Linked DNA regions of Sus scrofa. The protein of the gene in region 5 purifies or fractionates together with the protein of the main gene of each other region. This does not show direct contact. Links are inferred from orthologs where the notes say so. Each region holds a gene or a part of one and is shown on either strand. Other genes may lie near its edges.

Evidence for each region.
Region 1: the proteins of MECOM (region 5) and HDAC2 purify together in Homo sapiens (affinity purification with mass spectrometry; 3 studies listed by BioGRID and IntAct, with this or other methods). This does not show direct contact. The link is inferred for Sus scrofa from reciprocal best matches to the Homo sapiens genes MECOM and HDAC2.
Region 2: the proteins of MECOM (region 5) and CTBP1 purify together in Homo sapiens (affinity purification with mass spectrometry; 6 studies listed by BioGRID and IntAct, counting the BioPlex papers as one, with this or other methods). This does not show direct contact. The link is inferred for Sus scrofa from reciprocal best matches to the Homo sapiens genes MECOM and CTBP1.
Region 3: the proteins of MECOM (region 5) and HDAC1 purify together in Homo sapiens (affinity purification with western blotting; 5 studies listed by BioGRID and IntAct, with this or other methods). This does not show direct contact. The link is inferred for Sus scrofa from reciprocal best matches to the Homo sapiens genes MECOM and HDAC1.
Region 4: the proteins of MECOM (region 5) and SUV39H1 purify together in Homo sapiens (affinity purification with western blotting; 3 studies listed by BioGRID). This does not show direct contact. The link is inferred for Sus scrofa from reciprocal best matches to the Homo sapiens genes MECOM and SUV39H1.

What each region holds. Positions count from the first base shown.
Region 1 is NC_010443.5:79,898,798-79,902,807, forward strand, and holds the start of HDAC2 (histone deacetylase 2), read right to left. Parts: upstream 2,801-4,010; 5' UTR 2,536-2,800; coding exon 2,484-2,535; intron 1-2,483. UniProt on the Homo sapiens protein: Histone deacetylase that catalyzes the deacetylation of lysine residues on the N-terminal part of the core histones (H2A, H2B, H3 and H4).
Region 2 is NC_010450.4:474,122-479,466, forward strand, and holds the end of CTBP1 (C-terminal-binding protein 1), read right to left. Parts: intron 4,284-5,345; coding exon 4,069-4,283; intron 3,418-4,068; coding exon 3,287-3,417; intron 2,917-3,286; coding exon 2,789-2,916; exon of another isoform or gene 2,307-2,788; coding exon 2,189-2,306; intron 1,995-2,188; coding exon 1,994-1,994; intron 1,953-1,993; coding exon of another isoform or gene 1,950-1,952; coding exon 1,767-1,949; 3' UTR 1,049-1,766; downstream 1-1,048. UniProt on the Homo sapiens protein: Corepressor targeting diverse transcription regulators such as GLIS2 or BCL6. Has dehydrogenase activity. Involved in controlling the equilibrium between tubular and stacked structures in the Golgi complex.
Region 3 is NC_010448.4:88,782,623-88,786,264, reverse strand, and holds the end of HDAC1 (histone deacetylase 1), read right to left. Parts: intron 3,147-3,642; coding exon 3,038-3,146; intron 2,940-3,037; coding exon 2,809-2,939; intron 2,567-2,808; coding exon 2,414-2,566; intron 1,948-2,413; coding exon 1,899-1,947; intron 1,640-1,898; coding exon 1,612-1,639; 3' UTR 1,045-1,611; downstream 1-1,044. UniProt on the Homo sapiens protein: Histone deacetylase that catalyzes the deacetylation of lysine residues on the N-terminal part of the core histones (H2A, H2B, H3 and H4).
Region 4 is NC_010461.5:42,803,354-42,807,940, forward strand, and holds part of SUV39H1 (histone-lysine N-methyltransferase SUV39H1), read left to right. Parts: coding exon 1-65; intron 66-3,473; coding exon 3,474-3,574; intron 3,575-4,587. UniProt on the Homo sapiens protein: Histone methyltransferase that specifically trimethylates 'Lys-9' of histone H3 using monomethylated H3 'Lys-9' as substrate. Also weakly methylates histone H1 (in vitro).
Region 5 is NC_010455.5:107,752,171-107,756,471, forward strand, and holds the end of MECOM (MDS1 and EVI1 complex locus protein EVI1), read right to left. Parts: intron 2,623-4,301; coding exon 2,488-2,622; 3' UTR 1,037-2,487; downstream 1-1,036.

The DNA.
Region 1 (4,010 bases), on a different chromosome or scaffold from region 5:
CACTACTTTTATAAACATAATAGGGTTTTTGTGGTGATGAGAATGCAAGCTTTTGGAATTAACTACACACAGCGTAATATACTATCATATACAAAGAATTAGCATAATGATACCTATTCAATTTAATAACCTCTACAAAACATGTTATTACCCCCACCTCCCCAAAAAGAACCCAAAGCAAATTCCAAATATAAGCAACTACAAATTCCATTCTAAAAATGAGGCAAGGAAGAGCCAGAGACAAAAGACAGATAACCTAACCAGGGATAGATATCCAAACATTCGGTTAGTTATACACCTGCTGTTGGCCATCAAATAAAGCTTTATAAAGGTCCACCATAAAGTACTGACTAGGTCACAATCACAAGACTACTCTTTCTATCAAGTCTGCATCCTGCCCTTGGGACCACAGCTTGCTCCCATTCCCTCAACAAAGGCTCATCATAAATGGGCCCAGGAATATACAGCTATTGATAAAACTGACGCTTAGGTGTACCTCCTGGTTCTGCAGTTCAAGCCTGGTGACCACAAGTTTCAAGCAGCTTACTTCTCCAGAGCCTATCACTGTCAGCAACTAACAGCTGTAGGAAGAGCATTAGCACTAGTTACTCCAAACTTTTAAAACCTTTGTCCTTTACCCCAAGACCCGACAAGAACAAATCTCTAAACCTCAGAAACAATATTGTTTTAAAAATTAACTTACACATATTGTTATTTACTTTCCAATTTAGCCAGGCAATGCAAGGAAAGGCCAGTGACTCAAAATATGCATGAATTCTTAAAGAAAGAACTTTAAGAAGCCTTATAATAATTCACGTTAAAATTAAAATATATCCCTCTCTCCACCCCTCCATAACGGCATAATTTCAGATCAATCTGTATCACACATATAAGCGGACTTCTCAAAAAACAGGTCTTTAAAACATGGCTGTTACTACTGAGTATTGGCTACCAAATACTGAACTATTTAAATTTCTTTTCCAAGATTTTAGATTTTTCCACAATGACACAGGTGGTTATTTCATATAAACAGGCATCAAAATAATTTATCCTTGCTAACTTGAGATATGGTACAGCTATTTTAAAATTAAAGGCAGATTTATTCTGACCTAGTCCTCTAAGATCTTTCCACCACTCTTTAAAACTTTGTGATTTATAATACACTGAATGTGGCAAAAGCATCCAAAATTTGTATTGCTTCATTCAAACTGGATAGACCTTTTCAGGTCATTGAATCTAGCTTCTTTGTTAAATTTTACAATTTCTTTCTAGGAACTATTTACCTACTTAAGTTAATGCCTTTGTGCAATCTGTAAAGCAGCTAACTACTCTGTTTAGTGTAATTTATAGCATCCGGATTCAAAAAGATTTAATGTTACTGCTCAAACTGCAATTGAGAAGAACCCTTTAAATTATATGACTTTTACACACTGTTCCATGAGCTCAAGACTATCATTATTTATACCAATTTCTGCACTACTCCTCAAAGTTTTCCTGCACCGCGACTCCCACCACCTAGAAATAGCCTTCGCAAGCTAGATGCCAATGCTAGCTTCCCTACACCTCCAAAGCAGGGTATATTTCCCGATCAAACAAAGAGCAACAAAGAAGTGGGTGGTAACCACCTCACAGAGGCAAGCCAGGACCCATCGGGTCTGAGCTGCAACACAAGCAGCAGCAGCAGCCCCACGCTGCCCTACCACCGTCTTAATTTCCCGAGAAGACTGACTACCTCCAACTCGAAAACCCTCATTTTTATTGAGGAAGTGAAGCTTTTTCATTTGAATGCTAAGAAAGTGGCGCTCAAAGAAAGCGGCAAACAAAGGAGAGGAAAGAAGCCCAGGCAAAACAGCGGTGTGAGTGTACCCCAAAGCGGACGTGGGCCCCCACCTTCAGGAGCTACTCTCCGCTACCCACCCTGGTTGAGGGGTCTGGGGAGAGGCCGGCGCGGAGGAGGGGACAGCCTTTCTCCGGCCAGCCAGGGACGGAGGGGAGGGAGAGGTAAGGAGGGATGGGGGCGGGAGGGGAGGGATGGGGGCGGGAGGGGCGGAGCTCTCGCGGCCGTCGGGCTTTGTGTGGAGTCTGGGCCGGGGAAGCTGTTTTGACCCGGGGGGAGGGATGGGTACAAGGGGCCGGTGCAGAGCACCCCCAAACCTCCGCTCCCACGAGTGGCGGGCGGGAGAGGCGCGCGGGAGAACCGTCTGCTTCACACCAGCACGAAGCCTGGTAGGCCGGCGGCAGTCCGGACTGCCGGAGGAAGACGGCCAGGAGGGAAAAGTGGGGCGTCCACTTAGCCCCTGGCCGAGACTCCTGGACGGCGCCGGGTCGGGAATGGGTTAGGATGCGGCCAAACATCGGTCCCTCCTTCTGACCTGAACCCTCGCACCTGGGACCACTCGCGACGGCTGCTGCAGAGCCCCGTGCGGCTCGAGGCCCGGCGCCGCAGCCCTGCCCGCTACCCTCCCGCCAGCCCAGCCTCTCACCATCATAGTAGTAGCAGACTTTCTTCTTGCCGCCTCCCTGACTGTACGCCATGGGCTCCCCGGCCACCGCCGCCGCCGCCGCCTCCGGGCTCGGACTCCTGCTGCTGCTGCTGCTGCCGCCGCGGCTCGGCGCCGAAAGAAAAGGGCTGGGGTGAAGGTTGAACTGGCAGTCCTGCGGGGAAAGGCAGGCCAGAGGGAGGCGAGGAGGGGGTGCCGGGAGGGCTCGGTACCGCCCGGCCGAGGGGCCGAGAGCGCGGACCGGGGGGTGGCAGCGGCGCCAACTCGCGACACTGGGGAGGGGGAGGGGGCAGCCAAACCACCTCCGGAGGCCGAGGGGAGGTGGGATGCATCCACTGCGACTCCACGGGGGAAGAGGGGACACGACCCGAGAAAGAGGCCTCTTCAGTCCTGGGTAAAGAGGCCTCCTAATGATGAGCAACTTGCAGAGGGCCGCTCCAAATACAGTCGTAAAATGATTTTTTTTTAAGGACAGGCTTTCTCTCCGTAAGTGGGTGAAGGAAGCGTGGAGCCGGATAAACGCTCCCCCCTTCGGCTCTTCGTACAGTGGTTGCGCCTATCCCGAGCCTGCGCAGTCGGCGCCTCCTCAACCGTAGCCCGGGCGCTTAGACCCCTTCCGCGACGTCCCACGCCGCTCCCCTCCCCCACTGTCGCGAAGCTCCTGCCCGGGCGGACCACGTGCTGCAAGCGCCGCAGGGAGACCCCTCTCTCGCACTCCTTTGGCCTTGCCGAATCCTCCAGGCAGCAGTCCACGGACCCTCAACCGAGTCTGCTTGAATTTCATTTATTTTTTCATTTTTTGCTGATTTTTGCTCAGAGGTTCTTATCTATTAAGGGGACCTGTTACAGATATTAAGGAGTGGAATGTACTGCCTAGGTTTGAATGGGCATTTTATGGAATGCATTTATGAGTTAGACAGGGTTCTAAGCATTTGCATTTATGATAGATTTCATTGATACCCATTTGTAATAGGTACCAGTTAACTCATTTGAGACGCCCAACAACGCTGGGATGTAAGTATTATTTCTAGTCCTTCTTTATAAATGGAGCATATTAAGGAAATTGGTCTTCTCAGATGTTAATGGTCTAGGGTTTGATTTGACTTTCTCCAAAATCTACATACCCTAGCTACTCCGTTATTACTGCTTCCGCTGGCTGGGCACTGGAAGATTGGAGCAGAAAGCTCAGAGAAAGGACTTTCAAAACTTGGAATTTGTGAATACCTTTGTCACTGTGTCAAGTCAACATTTATCAAGTAGCTACTCTAAGCCAGCCACTTTATAGGGGATTGACAGTCTGCAAAGGAGAACTCTTAGCTCACTCTACCATTTACAGTTTTCCTCAAAAACACACTCCTATATCCCCATCAAAACAACAGCAAAAAAGGCCATATTAAAGTAGGAACCAGTCAGAATCACTACCAAGATCCTCTTTATTTTGCTATTTGACTTCAAAATCCCCAAGTAGTACATACTTACAGCAGCAATTTTCCTGGACCTTGCCCCCCA
Region 2 (5,345 bases), on a different chromosome or scaffold from region 5:
AGATCCCTTACTTGGTTTTAGCTCAAGTGTGGTTTCCACCCCTTCTAAACTTTCTCCGGACAGTTGGGCCCCCGCCCCGCGTCATTCCCCTGACCTCGGGAACGGGTCGCCCTCCTTCTCACTTCGGACCCTCACTGCACTTGTCTTATTTATTTTACTACCTACTAAAGCGCTGTTGAACTTGACACTCTCTACGGTGCCTTCTAGGACCCATTCCAGGTTGACGCCTATTATTTATTCACACCCGTAGTTCACAGCCTGATCCTGTCCCTCTTCTTCCGGCTGCTTTTGCAACACGGACGCGTGTGTCTGGATCTCGGCTTCTGTTCTCTCCTGAAGCGGGTACCGAAGCTCTCAGCCTCTCCATTACCAGCTCCCAGCTTGTCATGCCGTCTTTTCCCTGCTGTTGACGACTCCCTGGAGGCCAGCGGGTCTCTGCAGAATTAACTCTCCCTGCACCCCAGGGATGACGGAGGGCAGAGCCGTGCCCTCCCAGCGGAAAGGACCACAGACGCAGGGCCGAGGTGCAGAGCAGAGCCCGGGGACAGGCGGCGTGCCACGAGGGGAGCTCACCCGTCAGGGCGTGGCCGGACCGAGGGTGCCCTCCAGAACCTTCCCACCGGCAGGGGTCTGTAGACGGCCGCTTGGCAGGACCACCAAGGACGCGGCCCTGGTGCAGGATCCGAGGGCAGTGGAGGCGGAGGACCAGCTGCAGCCGTGCTGGTGGCGGAGGGGACACGCGGGGGACGGGGTAGCCCCTGAGGACGGGAGGTGGTGCGAGGAGGACCAGCTGGTGCAGCCGGAGCGTCGGGACAGGCGTCCCGCGAGCTGCAGAGCCAGCGGCCTCTGCCGCCCTGGGGCGGGGGGTGGGGTGTGGGGGGGTCCCAGGTCCCAGGCTGCCCGAGGGCGCACCGCCTGCGTCTTCTGCAGCAGCAGGGTCACAGCCCCCCGGGCTCCCCACTGCAGGCCCAGGGCCACCACAGACGGGACGGAGACCCACCAGGGACCCGGGAAACAAAGCCGTGAACACAGACGCTGGGCGTGCCGGCTCTTTCTGGGATTTTTATTTCTTTAAAATAATTCATACAAATGGTTACAGTCACAAACATGATTTTAACCAAAATATTGCTAGCCTACCACATCAGCAGGACGGCTCCGCTCGGCGGGCGCGGGGCCCTGGCCCCCGGGGCAGAGGCGCACGCTCTGCCCGCCTGGCGGCGCCGCCTTCGTTTGGAACAAGGGGGTTCATGCCAAAATTAGGAAAGACAGCCTGGGTGTTGCTTTTCTAAATTATCCTAAAAATAAGACAAGCAGGTAGAAAAAACAATGCACTGTGTGGCGTAAAAAGAAAACCGGAGGGATTCATTGTCCTGAGAAGTTTGCCAACTGCCTGGTCCGGGGCGCGCGGCACTCACGGGGCGGCCTGGGCGGACGCCGGCGCTCCCGCGGGCGTCTCTGCCGACAGCTAAGCAAACAAATCCTTGTAATGTTCTAGAGACTGTGCACAGACGGGAACATTCATGACGGAATTAACTACGAACTGCTTTTGCTTAACAAGGACGCGAAGGACACAGGGCAGCGGCTGGCCCTCGGGACGGGACAACTACAGTGACGCGAGGAGGCCGGCGCCACCTCTCACCACCTGGAGCCCGGGCCATCTCTGGAGGCCGCGGCCGCCCGTCGGCGCTGCCCCTGCACACGCCTGTCCGAGGGCGCGGCCCCTTCGGCGCTTGCGGCGGCGGCGAGGCTTCGGAGCTCTGCCCGGGTTACAACTGGTCGCTTGCGTGGTCTCTATCCGCCTCGGGCTTGACGGTTTGGCCTGGAGAAGGCGCGTGGGGCGGGTGGGATACAGGGGGCAGGCCGTGGGACAGGGACATGGCGCTGGGGACAATGCCTTCGACTGCGGCTGGGATGCCACTGGGGGCCACGCCTACCACGCCCGGGGGTACCTGCTGGGAGAGGAAGGGCCGCAGGTGAGGCCGGGGGCAGGGACCCTGGGCTGTGGGCCCAGCGGAGACGGCGGCAGAGGCAGGTGGCGGCCTTGAAGGCACCCCCGCCCTGCCCCCTCCACGCCCCCCGGGGAACGCCCCCCAGGGAGCTGGTCTTGTGGCCACCAGGCCCCGAAGGCTGCCCCCACGCGTGTCACCCCAACCGTCCAAGTCCAGGCCCCCGCCCACCGGGGGCTCACCTGTAGGCGGCCCCGTTGAGCTCGGGGTGCACCACGGCTGGGTCCACGCTGGCCCAGTGGGTGGCTGCTGCCAGGTGGTCCTTGTTCACACAGTTCTTCAGGCTGTCAGGGATCCGGCCTGGAGACGGCACAGACAGGGACAGTGCCCACGTCAGCTGCCCCCAGGGGGACCCCAGGAGCGTGGGGGCTCGTCGGTGGCATGGGCCACCCCCCTAGGAGCCACAGGGGCCCCGAGGAGCACTCCCGAGGCACTTTGGGATCCTGCCTGTCTGGGCAGCGTCACCCTTGTGGCCCGGGGCCCCTCAGCTCATCAGGGTCTCCGAGCCCATCTGACGGGCCCGGGCATCTCCCGGAGAAGCTGGCAGGGCCCAGCCCAAGAGGTTCACAAGCACAAACCGCTTTTTAAAAGGCGGAGAAAAGATACACGTGCAGAAAGCCCTGTGGGACAGTGAGTGTCACGAGCGTGACACCAGCACCTGGGGCTGTGCGTGTGCAGGGGTCCCCCATGGGGGCTGGTCTCTGCGCAGTGTCCCCGCCAGCGGAAGATGGAGGCGGCCCCCACGAGGGCCTCGGGCCCACCCGCCGCCGGCCGCCGCCCACCTGTGATGGCTCTCCGGATCTCGCGGGCCGCCTCCTCCCGCATCTCGATGGAGGCCTGCTCGCTGTACCAGGCTGCGTGCGGGGTGCAGATCAGGTTGGGAGCGTCCTTCAGGGGGCCCTGGCTAAAGCTACACAGCACGGGGCAGTCAGAGCGCCCAGGCGGGCAGAGGGTGCCCACCCCGCCCAGAGCTGGAGCTACCCTCCGTCTCCCCGGCCCCCATCAGGCGCAGGGACGCGAGCATCCTGGCCCCGCAGCCCCCGAGACTCGGCCGGGCCCTGGGAGGAAGGTCTGCCTGCCACGGGACCTCAGGCTGGGGGCGAGGCCTGAGTCCTCCCGGGCCCTCGGACCCTCGGCGGCCTGAGGCCAGGACTGGAGACCGTGCATGGGCAGTGGGGCCACCCCCCGCCCCCCCCGGCGCCGAGCAGCTCTGTGGCCAGCGTGGGGTGCGAGCCGGGGCAGGGGGGATCTCGGCGACGCCAGGGCGTCACGGGAAGCACCTGAAGGGCTCCGACTCGTGCACGTCCAGGGCCGCGCCGCGGATCCGCCCCTCCTTCAGCGCCTGGGCCAGCGCCTTCTCGTCCACCAGGCCGCCCCGGGCCGTGTTCACCAGGAAGGCCCCTTGTCTCATCTGGAAGACAGAGACCGTGTGACCTGAGGACCCTCCCCAGACCCAACTTCACCCCCAGACCAGCTGCTGCAGGGCTCGGCTGCTGCCCCTCGGTTCAGGTGGCTCTTCTCGTCCCTGTGGGCTCCCGCCCGTCCTGGCCTCACGCCACGGTCCCCGCTGCTGTCCCCCCAAGGCCCCAGCGGCTGCCTGGCCCTAGTCACTAGCCCCACTGTCCACGGGCAGACAGCACACACACCCGTCCCCACACACACACGTGCCCACAAGTGTCCGTAAGCACACCTGCACCAGGCAAGACCCCAGCACACGCCAACATCTGCACAACCTACACGCACAGAACGGCCGGCGCGTGAACAGTGTACACGCGCGGCCACACGCGCGCTCACACGTAAACACAGGACATGTGCACACACACGTGGGTGGGAGTCGTCACCCAAACTTCTCCACCGCACGCGGGTGCGCTGTGCCTGCAAACACGCGCTGTGCATACAGCCACCTGGAAGGCCCGGGGCCATCGGGTCAGGGAAGGAGGCCCCAGGATTCGGGGGGCCCGGTGGGGGCGGTGGCACCAGCAGACCGGCCACCAGAAGCCCGTCTGCCCCTGACCTCGTGCGCCCAGGCTGCACCCTCGCCCCGTGGCCGCCGCCCCGAGACCTGCTTGACGGTGAAGTCGTTGATGAGGTGGTGGTTGTGCTCGTTGAGGCCGCAGTGCAGGGTCACGCAGTCGCTGTGGAAGAGCAGGTCCTGCAGGGTGCTGACCCGCTGCAGCCCCAGCGCCCGCTCCGTGCCGTCCGCCAGGTAGGGGTCGTAGAAGAGCACGTTGAAGCCGAAGGCCTTGGCCCGCAGCGCCACCGCCTGCCCCACGCGACCTGGGGGGACAGGGTGTCACCGCAGCCCCGCCTCGGCTGTCCCGGCTCCCCAGGGCAGGGGCTCCACTCCCAGATGCAGAGGGCCACCGAGGCGGGCCAGGGGCTGCAGGCTCAGGACCGGCCCCGCGCCCTGGAGCCCGGGCCCCTGACCTCAGCTGCTGAGAAGGACACAGGGGCTCAGGGTCCCTCCTCCAGAAGGGACTCTGCCCTGGTGACCACGGGCTGCCACAGTGGAGGCAAAGCAGGGGACCTGGGCAGGCCAGGAGCCGGGAGGGGTGCCACGCCAGGGCTCTGCTCCTGGAGGACGCGCTGCCTCTCGGGCCACAGCAGCCCTCAGGGGACCGCTCTGCTCTGGGCAGCAGGGCACCTGGAAGCAGGCACTGGGCGTCCTGGGAGGGGTGGGGCGCGGGCCGGAGCAGAGGCTGGGGCTGCGGTGCCCAGCGCTAGTTTAGCACGGCCTCCGGGACCTCCCACTCGGCTGGCTGGTCACCTTTACTTTTCATTTTTTCTCTCTTTATGGCCACGCCCACAGGAGTGACCCAAGATGCTGCCGTGACAACGCTGGATTCTGAACCTGCTGCCCACGAGGGAACTCCTGCGGCTGGTCACCTTTGGACCGGGCACCGAGACCCCTGAGCAACACCGCCTGGGGGTGATGTGGCCCAAAGCCATTTGTCCAGGCAAACCGTCCCCCAACATGCCACGTGGGCCGGGCTGTCCCTGCTCTCACACCTCACAGGGCTTGGAGGTGGCAGGGCTGTGGGGCTCGTACCAGCCCCAGCGTCCGCGTGCGCACGCCTGGTGCATCAGGGAGCAGCGCTGGGGAGCGACACCGCGGCCCACAGGCAGCCAGGGCCCTGACCCCTGCACCAGCGCAGGCGCCTCTGCCCCCCACGCTCCCCTTGGCCACGGAAGGCGGTGCCGCGGTGGAGGGCCGGAGCCTGTGGGAAACCAGGAGGATGGGTGCCCGGGATCTGCGGGGAGGTGGCACAGAAGAGGGTGGACGGTGCCACGTGACCTCAAGCGCAGGCGCTCCTGCCCCTCAGGCCGCAGGCCCCTCCC
Region 3 (3,642 bases), on a different chromosome or scaffold from region 5:
GAAGAAGAGGCAGGGCCCCAGGCCACAGAGCCATCCACTCCCTTGGGGCCGGAGAGTGGCCCTACACCAGCCAGCGAGCAGAATGAGTAGCTGGGTGGGGGCAGGTGGGTGACCTCTAAGCTGCAAAAACTGTGCTGTCCTTGTGAGGTCACTGCCTGGACCTGGTGCCCTGGCTGCCTTCCTGTGCCCAGAAAGGAAGGGGCTGTTGCCCCCTAGCCACGTTCCCTCTCCTCTCCCTCCTGTGGATTCTCCCATCATCCATCTGGTCTTCCTCCTAAGGCCAGCTGAAGGTGGTCCCTTGCAGTCTCCCCAGTTAGGTTAGTGATGTGAAATGCTCCTGCCCCTGGCCCTCCCTCCTTCCCTGTCCCCACCCATGCAGAAGGCAGTTGCTGGTTTTCTCCCCCAATTCTTTTCCAAGTAGGTTTTGTTTATTCCCCAAATCCCTGAGCCAGATCTGGGGGTGCCTACACTCCCAAATCCTGAGTGTCCAGCCTTCCCCTGTTGAGTTTCTAGTCTCTCGTGCTGTGCCTAGTGGCACCTGGGCTGGGGAGGACAGAGCCCCTGTCTAGGTTTTTATAAATGTCTTACTCAAGTTCGAACCTCCAGCTTGTGAATCAACTGTCTCTTTTTTGACTTGGTAAGCAAGTATTAAGCTTTGGGGTGGGGGGAGGTCTGTAATGTGAAACAACTTCTTGTTGTCTTTTTTTTTTCCCCCTCCCATTGTTGTAAATAACTTTTAATGGCCAAACCCCAGATTTGTACTTTTTTTTTTTTCTTTTCTAACTGCTAAAACCATTCTCTTCCACCTGGTTTTATTGTAACATTTGGAAAAGGAATAAATGTCGTCCCTTTAGTGGTGCTTTTTAATGAGTGGTCTTCTGGGGTAGGGTAAGAAGACTGGTTAACCTCAAGCCTTGAGGAGGGTTAAGACAGGTAAGTCTGTGGGGTTTTTAGGTTGTTGAGGGGTTGCCCAGATCCTCGTGTACACTTAAGGGCAGGGAAGTGGAAGTGAAATGAACCCAGGGATACCACTAGGAGACAGGCTCAGGAGGGTATAGAAATGTACCATTTTATTACAAAGATTCGCACAAAAATGGAAATAGTATCTCAAAAAGGAACCTAGACTACCAATCTTCACCTGCAGAATTGGGGGAGGAAGAGAGGGCAGGCAGTGTGAGTTTCTTGGCTCACTGGGGGGCAGTGGAAAGGTATGAGAACAGAACCAATCTAAAAATGGCTGATGTTACCTTAAGGAGCCTGAAAAAACAAGGAATCCCTGAAGACCCAGTCAACCCTTCTAAAATACTCGACGAGGGCACCCTTTCAAAGTTATTAGTCACGTCAAGATTTTGTCCTATGGCTGCTTAGGTATATCCCTTCCACCTGTTATGGTTTGAAATTAAGAGGTGGAGAGGGATGGATGGTGAGGCAGCTATTAGAAACCTAACACGTGTGCCCTAGGCTCAGGAGCCTGGTTCCTGTCTAGTCCCTGGGGATATTTATATTTAATATATTTTTATATAAATACACAGAAATAGAAAATATAAAATCTGAGGGGTTGTGGGATAAAGACGGGGAACTTGGCAAGAAGCCAGAATTGGAGAGGTCTGTTCAGGCCAACTTGACCTCCTCCTTGACCCTGTGGAGAGAGCAGAGACTGGAATGAGATAACCCACCCTAGAGGCCTTGAGGCCAAGTATGGGTACAATGATTTCCATAGCGCCCGGGCTGCCCAGGTGACTGCTGAGGGCTGGGGCTTCCTAGCTCTGCCTAGAACTGCAGAGAAACACAGACTGGTCCCTGAAAGAAGCCTTTGTAAGCTGGACCAGCTGTCCCTGGTGGTGGGACAAAGGGGCTGGTGCTCCAATGCCAGGGAGATAAGACAGCTCCTTCCTTACCCTTTGGCTTCTTGCTTCTCCTCCTTGGTTTTCTCCTCTTCTGTGACTTCTAGAATATAAGAGAGCAGGGATGGCCAAGGGCAGCCCCTTTGGAAAGACCCATGGGATCTCCACTTACCCTGAAACCCTTTCCCCAACACTACAGCTGGCTGGACATACAAAAGAGAAAAGCCCATCCCAGCCCTCCAGGCGAGCCCTGTAGAGAACAAACAGGTCAAACCGGTTTCCCAGCCTGCTAGAGCCTGAACCCTGTGGGTGGAGGCAGCCCCCTGGGAAAGTGGGGTGGTATCTGAGAGCCACGCTCCTGACCACCGGGAGCCCAGGCATGTCCCTGGCTCTGGGGCCTGGGAGGGCTCAATCAGCCAGTGAAGACGAATTGAGTTTCATCCTTTCGGAGAAGAGGCCTACAGGAGCTGGCAGGACCCAAGTCAGCGCCCTCCTCCCAGTGTCCTACATAAATTCCTCCTCGAGGGCCTGGGGCTCAAGACCCAAGTCCTGGCCCAACCCTAACCCACCTTTCTTCTCTTCTGGGTCCTTCTCTTTCTCATCTTCTGTTTTGACTCTCTTGGCTTTTTTGAAGTTGGAAGAGTTCTTGCGACCACCTTCTCCCTCCTCATCAGAGTCAGAGAACTCTTCCTCACAGGCAATTCGTTTGTCCGAGGAACAGACTGGGAGGTAATGGGAAATATGGGTGAGAGAGAAAATTCTTTATCTCATGGTCTGCCCAGTGCTTTCCTGCATGTTCCCCAAAAGACATCAAAAGGGAAAGGAAGCTAGACTCCTTAAATTATAAGCACAGGACCTCGAGTTTCTCAACAGGTGGTAGCTTGTGGAGAATGTGGAGCCAGGAACAATGCAGGGAAGACAGAATTGCCTACAGAGTGGTAGGGTGGGGGCCCCTGGGTCTCACTTGAGATGCGCTTGTCAGGGTCTTCTTCATCCTCATCGCCACTCTCCTCTGGAATGGCATCCTCAGGAATGGCCTGCATTTGGACCCCAGGTGCATGGGGCAGCATTCTCAGGTTCTCAAACAGTCGCTGTCTATGGCCAATGGTAGAGAGGTGGCTGGGCTCTGATCAGGGACCAATCAGAGCCTCGAATGTTAAACGAGGGGTGTTGGGGTGGGGGGATATACTCACTTGATCTTTTCCAGGTACTCATTAGTGTTCTGGTTAGTCATATTGGAAGGACTGATGTGAAGTTTGAAATCTGGTCCGAAGTATTCAAAGCAGTCGTTGTACGGAAGCTCTAATTGGGGCAGGGGGTGAGAGAGTCAAGAGATCTGGTGACCATGGGACCCTGAGAAAAGCATCTATAGGTTTATCTGGACCTGTCAGCCCAACTATCAAAGAAGCGTGCCTCCAAGATAGGGTGAGACTTGGGTACCTATAGGATTTCAATTTTTAATTTTTTTTTTCTTTTTTGGCTACAACCCCTTGGCATATGGAAGTTTCCAACCCAGGGACTGAATCCAAGCCACACCTGTAACCTATACCACAGCTACAGCAATGCCAGATCCTTAACTCCAGGATTTCAGTTTTTTAAAAGCGACTCTCCAGTGTCCACTGGAGGGGGAGTGGTGTGTGTGTGTGTGTGTGTGTGTGTGTGTGTGTGTGTGTGTGTGTGTGTGTGTGTGTGTGTGTGTGTGTGTGTGGGTGTGTTAAGGATGTGGCACTGGAGGGGGAGTGGTGTGTGTGTGTGTGTGTGTGTGTGTGTGTGTGTTAAGGATGTGGCACTGCCGCGA
Region 4 (4,587 bases), on a different chromosome or scaffold from region 5:
GCTGGGGTGTCCGCACACTGGAGAAGATCCGCAAGAACAGCTTCGTCATGGAGTACGTGGGCGAGGTAGGGAGTCGGGGCTGGGCGCCTGTTCCCGCCGCCGCCGTCGCCGCCCCACCGCTAAGCGCAGTGCGCCGGGCTCGCCCGCCCCTCTGTGTGCCTGCGGCTTCCCCGCACTCCCGGTGCGGTGGGCGAGGTGTTGGGGGCGGTGAACCCCAGTGTGAGAGACCCCACCCCAGCCGGGGTGAGTGGTCTAAGCAGGCGGGTAAAGCCCCCCTGAAATACCTCCGGGCTGGGCGGCCCTCCCTCCCCAGGGGAGCCAGCAAAGGGCAAAAGCGGGAACCGAAATCCAGGCAGCGTTCCTTTCAGCGGGCCCTGTGGGCTGCGAGGGGTTGTGTCACCTGACGGGGCACTTCCTCTTCTCATTTCCCCCGAGGGCCCAGCCGTCCGCCCAGCGGTGCCTGCCCAGGGAGGAGCACCTTTTGCTAGTCCGCCCAAGCGGGGCGCCGACGGCCTGCCGGAGGCGGGCGGGAGTGCCTGGGGGAGGCCGGCTTCCGGCTTCCTCCTCTGGACACGGCTCTGGAGAGCCGGCTGTAGGAGGCAGGCCCCCCCACCCTACCAGGCAACCCCAACGCTTAGCGGCGTGGTGCGTTGGAAGTCCGTTCGTTGGAAGTCCGTTCGCGCCTCTCCCAGCCCAGCATGGGCCTGTAGGTGGTGTCCTTCCTCGTGACGGCGCAGACACCCGGGTTCCTTCCCTCTTGTGCCTTTGCTGTGCTTCAGGGCCTTGGAGCCGCCTCTGATCCTCAGCACTGCGAGGCAGGTGGGCTGAGGCGGGGCAGACCCGGGGAGGCCTGGACGCGGTGCGCATGTCATGTCGGCGTGCACCTGCTGGTGGGAACCGACTCACGGGCCATAGCTCGGGGCAGAGGCCCGCGAAGTGTGACTTAGCCTTATGCTCAAGTGGAAAATCCAGAGGGGTGTGGGTGAATAACTAGCAAGTGCCCGCCACAGCAGGTGTCACGTTCTACACTGAGACACGGTGGGCACTTGAGGTGGGGCAGTTTTTTGTGCCGTGGGACCATCTCATGCATCGGGGAACATAAAATACCCCTGGACCGTGATCATTTAAATCCCTGAGTGTGCCCTGTTGCGATGACACCCCCCAAGCACCCCCCCCATTTCCATAGGTCTCTTGGGGGTGTGATTTGGCCGGGGAGTGACAGAATTGGCCTAAGGGACACACACCTGAAGCTGTCTCCACAGTAGTGATGACACTGATGGAGAGGAGCGGCTCCTGCTCTGGGGAACTATACCGTAGAGAGGGTCAGAGCACCGGCGCAGGGGCGGGGGCGGGCAGAGACCGGCTAGGGGCGGAGCGGCCACACTGCAGAGGACCCTGACGGTCTGGACAAGGTCATGTCCATGCCCCAGAGAATCCGGTGGTCGGATGGAGGAGATGGCAGAGGACCTGACAGTCTAGAGGAAGGAGGAGGTGGCCACAGCCCAGAGGGTTCCCGGCAGTCTAGAGAAGGGAAGGCCTGACAGTCTGTAGGAGGAAGAGGTGTCCGTGTCCCAGAGCCACCTGAGGAAGAGAGCGAGCGCTCCAGAGGACCCTGGCAGTCTGACTTAGGAAGTGTCCACACCCACACTGCCCTGACAGTCGGGAAACTCAAGTGTCCTCACCCCCGAGGGATAGTGACAGTCTGAAGGAGCTCGGGTCTACACCCAAGAGGCTCTGACAGCCTGGAGGAAGTGTCCACACCCTCAGCGCCCTGACACTCTGGAGGAGATGCCGAGACCTCAGAGGGACAGTGACAGTGTGGAGATGTCACACCCCGGAGGGATGTCCCCAGGGTGGGGGAGGAGGTGGCCACACCCACAGGGGCCCACAGTGGCAGAAGAGGTCCAGAGCAGCGGGTCCCTAGCTTCACTCTACTGCCGGTCTCAGGGGGGCACTGAGCGCAGGAGAGGCCTGGCAGGCGAGGGGGAGGAAGTGTCTACAGCCCATTGGCACCCTAAGGTCCCCACCACTCTTCCTTAGTGCCCTTGCTCCTCCACGCTGTAAACACAGGGCTTGCTGAGGACCCCCTCCCTCCCTGTCCTTACTCTTCCCACTCTGCACACATTCTCTTCAAGCTGTTTCTTGGTCTCCCTCCTGCCACGTTCAGTGACTTCCAGCCCCCACCCCCCGGCATCTGCAGACCTATGGGGCCTCCTAATAGCACCACAGGCCCCCAAACTGCCAGAGCCAAATGCATCTTCCTGGGTCCCCCTCCTATGAGGCAGCGTGGCAGAGGGGTGGGGGAGGTGGTGGACCCTGGAGTCTGGGTGCCTGAGGCTGAATCCCATCTCCACCCCTCCTCAGCGGCCAGCCTCTTTGTGTCTCAGTTTCCTAATCTGTAAGATGGGAAGATAAGAGCACCCACGCACCCACCTCATACACTTGTTATAAGAACTAAATGAGTTCCGAGGTGTGAAGCATTTGGGGGAAGCCCTTGAATGGAGTTCAGTACACAGCAAGTCCCACATAAGTGTTGGCCGTTAGGGTCCAAAATTCAGAAAAATCCAAAAAGGTCAGAAAGCCAAATGTTTCCTGTGCCGCCTTTGGCTACAAACCCCAACTGGACCTGGTAGAGGCCCACGTGTCGTCTGTTTACCCCACCTGACGTGCATGTTCATAGATTTCATGGCAGAAATATGAATTGACTTGATTCCGTGAGGCTGTCCTGCCGGGCACCCTCCCTGTTGACCCTGCTGTCCTCCCGCGCCCCTGCGCGACAGCCCCACCACGCGAGCTGCCCCTCCGCCTTCTGCCGGGACGGCCCGACCCCCGCCCAGCAGAGACCATATCGTGTTTTATCCATTCGGCAACACGCACTTCATATTTTAACAACTCTGAAATGAAGGTGGATCTCAATTTGTTTAATTAAATGATGGCGTATCATCATTTAATTAGTAGCAGCTCTTCCTTTCCTGGGAAAGGGCACACGCACTAAGTGAGCCTGTTGGGATTTCAACCAGCTATGGTACCTCCCCGAACACAAAACCACACAGACACGCCTTTCACACCCCTGATCTTGGGTTCTTCCAACCGCCCCTGTCGGGGCGGGGGCGGGGGGGCATTACGGCCATGGTCATCCCCATTCTACAGATGTGAAAACTGAGGCCCGGAGAGGGAGAGTGGGTTTAAAAGAAAAAGAAAAAAAAGCCTATGTGTCTCAAACTCCTGTGCTGCCCGATCTGGTGAAGTGTTGTCTTTTGGGTTTGGGGGAGGTTTTCTGGGGGGGGAGGCGCTGAGGAAACAGGCAGAGAGAAGGCTCAGGATCCTGTATCTGGGAGGGGGCAGAGCAGCAGGTGGCCTCCGAGGTTCTGGTTCCCTTTTCCGGCTGCCCGCCTCTAGCCCGTCCGTCTTCCCCCGTCCCTCCGGAGGACTGCTAGGGAGCAGGGACCTGGACTGATTTGTTCTCAACTCAGCCCTTACAGAGTGGGACTGAAAAGAAGACAAGAGAGAAGGAACCGTTTGTGCCCTGGAGGGTTTGCGGTGTGACTCACTCCTGGGGAGACTCAGGGAGCAGGTAGGGGCAGGACAGGCAGGAAGATGGAGCCTGGGGAGGGGGTGGCCGTATTCCCTCTGGTTGGGGAGGGGCCCGGGGGGCTCCTGAGCCCCCGGGAGAGGCTGCCCTTTGATCCCGGGGCTTCTAGAGGCGGCGGTGGTGGCGGTGGGTGGGGACTGGGAGCCTCAGGAAGAGCTGGACAGAGAAGTGACATCTGCTAGAGCTGACGTCGCAAGGAAGAGCGCCGTGTTCTCTGGGAGGTGGCGGGAAACGGACCTGGCTGTACTTCTCTTCCAGCGCGTCTGTGGCTCCTGTCTTGTCCCTCGGGAGAGAGTCCCCGCATTTCAACTTGGTCAGATCCCTTTTATGATCTGCAGTTCGCCTCAGTGGTGGTCTTTCTTTCCCATTGCCCCTCCAACTCTTAAGCCTCGTAGGCATCTGCATCCATCTCTGTCACCAGAGTGACCTGTGTCGCATGTGACCGTGAGGGCCAGAGGGGACCTGGTCCCTGCGACTCTCCCACCAGACATTAACCCCTGAGGGCCAGGACTGAGCCTGCTTCCGGTGTCTCCCCGACCCAGCCGTGACCTCTGAGTACCGGGACCAGGCTCAGGACTGGCCTCCTAAAAATCCCCTGAGTGAAAGGGCACAAGCAAAGATTTGGGGTGTGGGGGAGCCAGGTTCCTCAAGGAATGGAGCTGGAGCCTGGGGCAGTGGGCATTGTGGCCCGAGGGATAAGCCTTGGGCTTCTAAGGGGGTCATGGCTCAGCACTCAGGGCTCAGCGCAGAGCAGAGGTGGGAGGGGACGACGTAGGAGGCAGGGAAGAGGCTGGAGAAACCCGAGGCTGGTCAAGACCGGAGGCCGGAGGAGCCAGGAGGGAGGTCTCAGGCTTGCCTCTGCTGTGGCAGGGGGCACTGGGTCTCGGGAAGGGAGAAGCGGTGTGGTGGGGAGAGAGTGCCTGAGCTGCTTGGGGACCGCTGATGGACAGACAGGTCTGTGAGCTGGAAAGCAGAATGCAAGTAAAGGGCCCGTG
Region 5 (4,301 bases):
TTAAAAAATCAACACTTTTACCGCATATATTTAATTCCTATACTACAGACATTTAAAAAGGATGTGAGGAAGTTTCTCTCTGTATCTGGCATTGTGGCTAAGAATGAATAAACAAACAAATCAATTAGATCTACTTCTATGTTCCATACTTATTGAATCTGCAAGCCTAGTTAAAACCTCTACAGCCAGCCACATTGAAATAACCATATTCTAAAACCACTGGCATCGTACTGAATGTACAAAAAAATATTCAAAATGGCTCCCCCATGAGAGAATTTATCACACAGAAACACCACGCTTCACAGTCCAACCCTGTGTGTACATATACGAACACTCAGAAACAATTAGGTGCATGAAAATTAAAATTGCATACATTAGGGAGAAGCAAAAAACAAATTTTCAACAAAAAATGAAATAGTTGAAGAACTCATAGTAGATCAAACCTGATGGAATATTATTAGAGCAACTGCAAAATGATTACTTTGAAGAAGTTACAGCAATATGCAGTGGATTTTTTTTTTGTAAAGGAAAAACTTAAAAATCACATCTACTCTTTGATTATAGCCATAAAAACATGATATTTTGCATGTGGACACAGACTTGAAAGGATCATAGGAAAGTTAAAGGGTCCCACCCCCTCGTGAAGGAGTTAACAGAATTTGGGTAATTAAAAACAAAGATAAGAAACAGAACACCTTTTGGCACACGTTACATAAAATCGAGAAGAAAAACTGTACGTTGCTCTGTCCTAACCAGAATGGGTGCCAAAGATGTGGACTGATCCCAAGGACCATGTAGCACCTGAGCCTTGGCTTTGCACCACATGGAGAAAGTCCAGAACAATGAGCAGGAGACAGTCCAACTCCCTCTGGGGCAAGGGCTATCTTTCATGTCATCTCAAAACTATACACACATGCTCTACATTCCACATATCTACTAGGGCATCAAGGTCCCAGGCAGCATATCTTTAAATCACTGGGTCCCAAAGGGAAACCAAAATTGCATGGGAAGGGAAACTACCAGACTGGAAAAAAAATAACCATTTTTATAAGTCTTTATTTTTTAGTTGCTCCTCCCATAGTAATGCACTGAAAGGCATAACAGTTTATATTGTACAAAGCATTTGAAGAAAGTACCTCAACTTGCTGATTATTTCAAAATGAGATTACAAACAAAGAGAAAACAAATCTGGTTCCTCAATAAAGGGCAAAATAACTGAATACAGTCTGTTATTTACGTCTCTCTTTTAACATAAGGTCTGGAACACTTCATTTTACAAATAGGATTAACATGAACATAACATCGCACAAGCTTGCAGACAACCAGCATAAAATATGGGGTACAGTTTTTAATCAGAAGAATCATGCTTTCATGAAAGAAATTATAATCGTTTATACAACTGAATCAATTTCAGTATTACAAAAACTAAGTTGCATCTATTCGTAGTTAGCTCATTAAGAAGGAAAACAAAACAACAACAAAAAGGAATGTTACGAAAAGCCAAACACCATTTGGCACTCCCATACACAGGTCGAGTCACCTTGGTCCTTGAAATTCAGAAAGGGGTGTGCCTCGGATGTCAGAAAGTAGTGGCTGACTGGAACAGTGCTATTTTAATCAACAAACAATAGTTTGCCAACAAATAAATACATGATACACGCAACACACACACAAAATTAAACATTAAAAAACAGTGACATGATTGTCTAAAATTAAGATGTTATTACAAGGATTTGGCAAACCTATTCGTGTAGTGGTACACCGGTACTGGTGATGAACAGGCTACTTCACTGACGTAACCTCTTTGAGCATTGAACATCCATAGTTTACAATATACACATACCCTTTTCCCCTAGTTTTAAACAATGTACTTAAGAAGGCAAAAGTTAATAGGAAACAAATACTCCCTGTTATCAGTTTCTATAATAATCAAGTGTGCATTTCATCCAACTACTTCTGTCTTTGAAGGGTTAAATTACATAAAACTTTAACAAAGCAAAAAAAAAAAAATTAAATCTGTAATTAAAAGCAACTGTTCCCAATCATGTGTCAGGTGATCTTGTATAAAAAAAGAATTCAGTTTCTATGGAGTGTTCATTCCTATCAATGCTGCCATCTCCACCACCCTCTCACCCCCCCACTCCCAAGGGCAAGATGAATTGGAAGATGCCTTCTGCCCAGCAAGTTTTTCACTTTTACGGAATCACTTTAAGTCGCATTGATCCACCAGAAGTCAGCAGCTGCCTTTGCTGTGCAAAACAAAATATCGAGAATAAATAGTTTCTTTTTCTTTCTTTCTTTCTCTTTCATTCTTTCTTTCTCTTTCTTTTTTTTTTTTTTCAATCATTCAGTTTAAGGTCCCCAGACTTTACATGAGTGACCCTTCAGGTTTCTAAGGCATTCTGCTCAGCAGTCTTTTAAATAGTCCTACATGAAAGAGCCATGCTACTGTTGGACTTGGTCCCACTCTGGTCGACCTTGGGAATGTCATACGTGGCTTATGGACTGGATGGCACTGGATTCCGCCGCAGCCCTGGCCATACTGTGCCACATGCTGGAAGAACTGTGGGATGAAGGATGGAGGGACTCCTTGTCGGACAATGACAACATCATAGCGTATGCCTGGGGTGAAAAGGAAAGACTCGGTAAATGGCATTTATTTGAAAAGCATCACTTTATAAATTTGAAGGCTACCACGGGTGAATGTTAGGAAAAGAAGGGACCCCGAGCAAGAGCATCTCTTGTGGGTGTGTTTGGAAAAGTGCGGGGCATTTTTTTGTGGTTATAATGATATGGAGTTAGTGCTGGCCTTCAGCGCCTTGGGGCCACAAAGTGATGCAATCTGCAGAACAACAACAAAAAAATAATGATCCTACCTAAAGTGTCAAGATTGCCTCTATTAAGAAACAGGAATCACCCCCTCCCCAACCATAAATACAATAACCATCCATCCACTGTTCATGCACATGTGCAACTCACCAAAAACATTACTGCATACTTATGACTGTAACTACAAATACAAATAAGAGACAGGCCTGCCTTGATAGCACTGAGGTCTATGGAGGAAATAGTCCAGCCGACTCCTGCACTTGATAACTGAGAGCACAAAAGGTGAAACAACCTGTCCAAAGCCACTCAGCCAGACAGTGGAGGATGAATAAGTGAAACATTTCTGCCCAACCTTCAACCCGGTGTCCTCTCTCCACTTTCTCTCCATGCTTGAAACATACAATGCTGACACCCAAAGACCCTGAAAGCTGAGATCGATCTAGTCGGTTCTACCAAAAAAACAGAACAAAGCGCAAGACCCAGCAAAGTTCTAACCCCTGTGCTCCAATCCCTGCCAAGCAGGAGGTGCACAGTGGTGCTCTGTGAGGAAGTTCTCTTTCTCCCCTATTATCATGTCAAATCCTACATGACTGTTCAGAGAATCCCCCCATGTGCTGCCAAGTCAAATATTCAAATGAAATGTTTGGTCTTGACTTGTGGGTGAACTTTTCACTGTTGATTTGCTATTGTTGGTCTCATCCACTGCTAAACTTGCTTGTCAAAATGCTGCTGAAGTGGAATCACTAAAGTCCTGCCAAAGACATTCCACTGTCGGTAAACAAAGACAAAATGCCTCTGTTGTTAAGCAGAATTTCATCTCTGGGAGTCATGCTGAGACATGTGGCCGGTCTGTGGTTTCTTCTGTAATCATGGCATTCAGTTAGAAAATCTGCCCTCACAGGCTGATTTTGATTTGCTGGGTCATTGCTCTAAATGTATACATTTGACTTTTATGTAGGCAAAAAGTTGCCTTCGGGACCTCTACAAAATCTCATCAGCAGACATATCTTTCTTAAGCATCTACTCCATGCCAGGCACTGTACTAGGTCCCAGGGAATCAAGGATAAATAACATAGAGTCCTTGTCCTTTGCAGAATTTAAAGGATGGGTGAAGTGAGCATTGAACTTTATTTGTTCTAATTATGTACCCACATTCAGAGATCAAGATAAAGAATATTCCAAAATGATTTTAATAAAACTCATTCTGATACGTGGAAAGAAAAAAGAGAGTACAGAGAAAATTGATAACCTTTCGAGGTCACTTTCCTCAGATGAAATGTGACTAAAAACAAAGACCTCCAATAGTTACAGAGGAACCACAAACACTAACTTATATAAAGTGCTTAGTTCAGCGCACCTATGTACTGATAGAACCTGCTATCATGAAACTAATTTTTTGTAGGAGAGGGCTTTTAAGGGAAAACTCCATGCAGAAGGCAGCCACTATTACCTTGGTCAACTATTTTGGATTC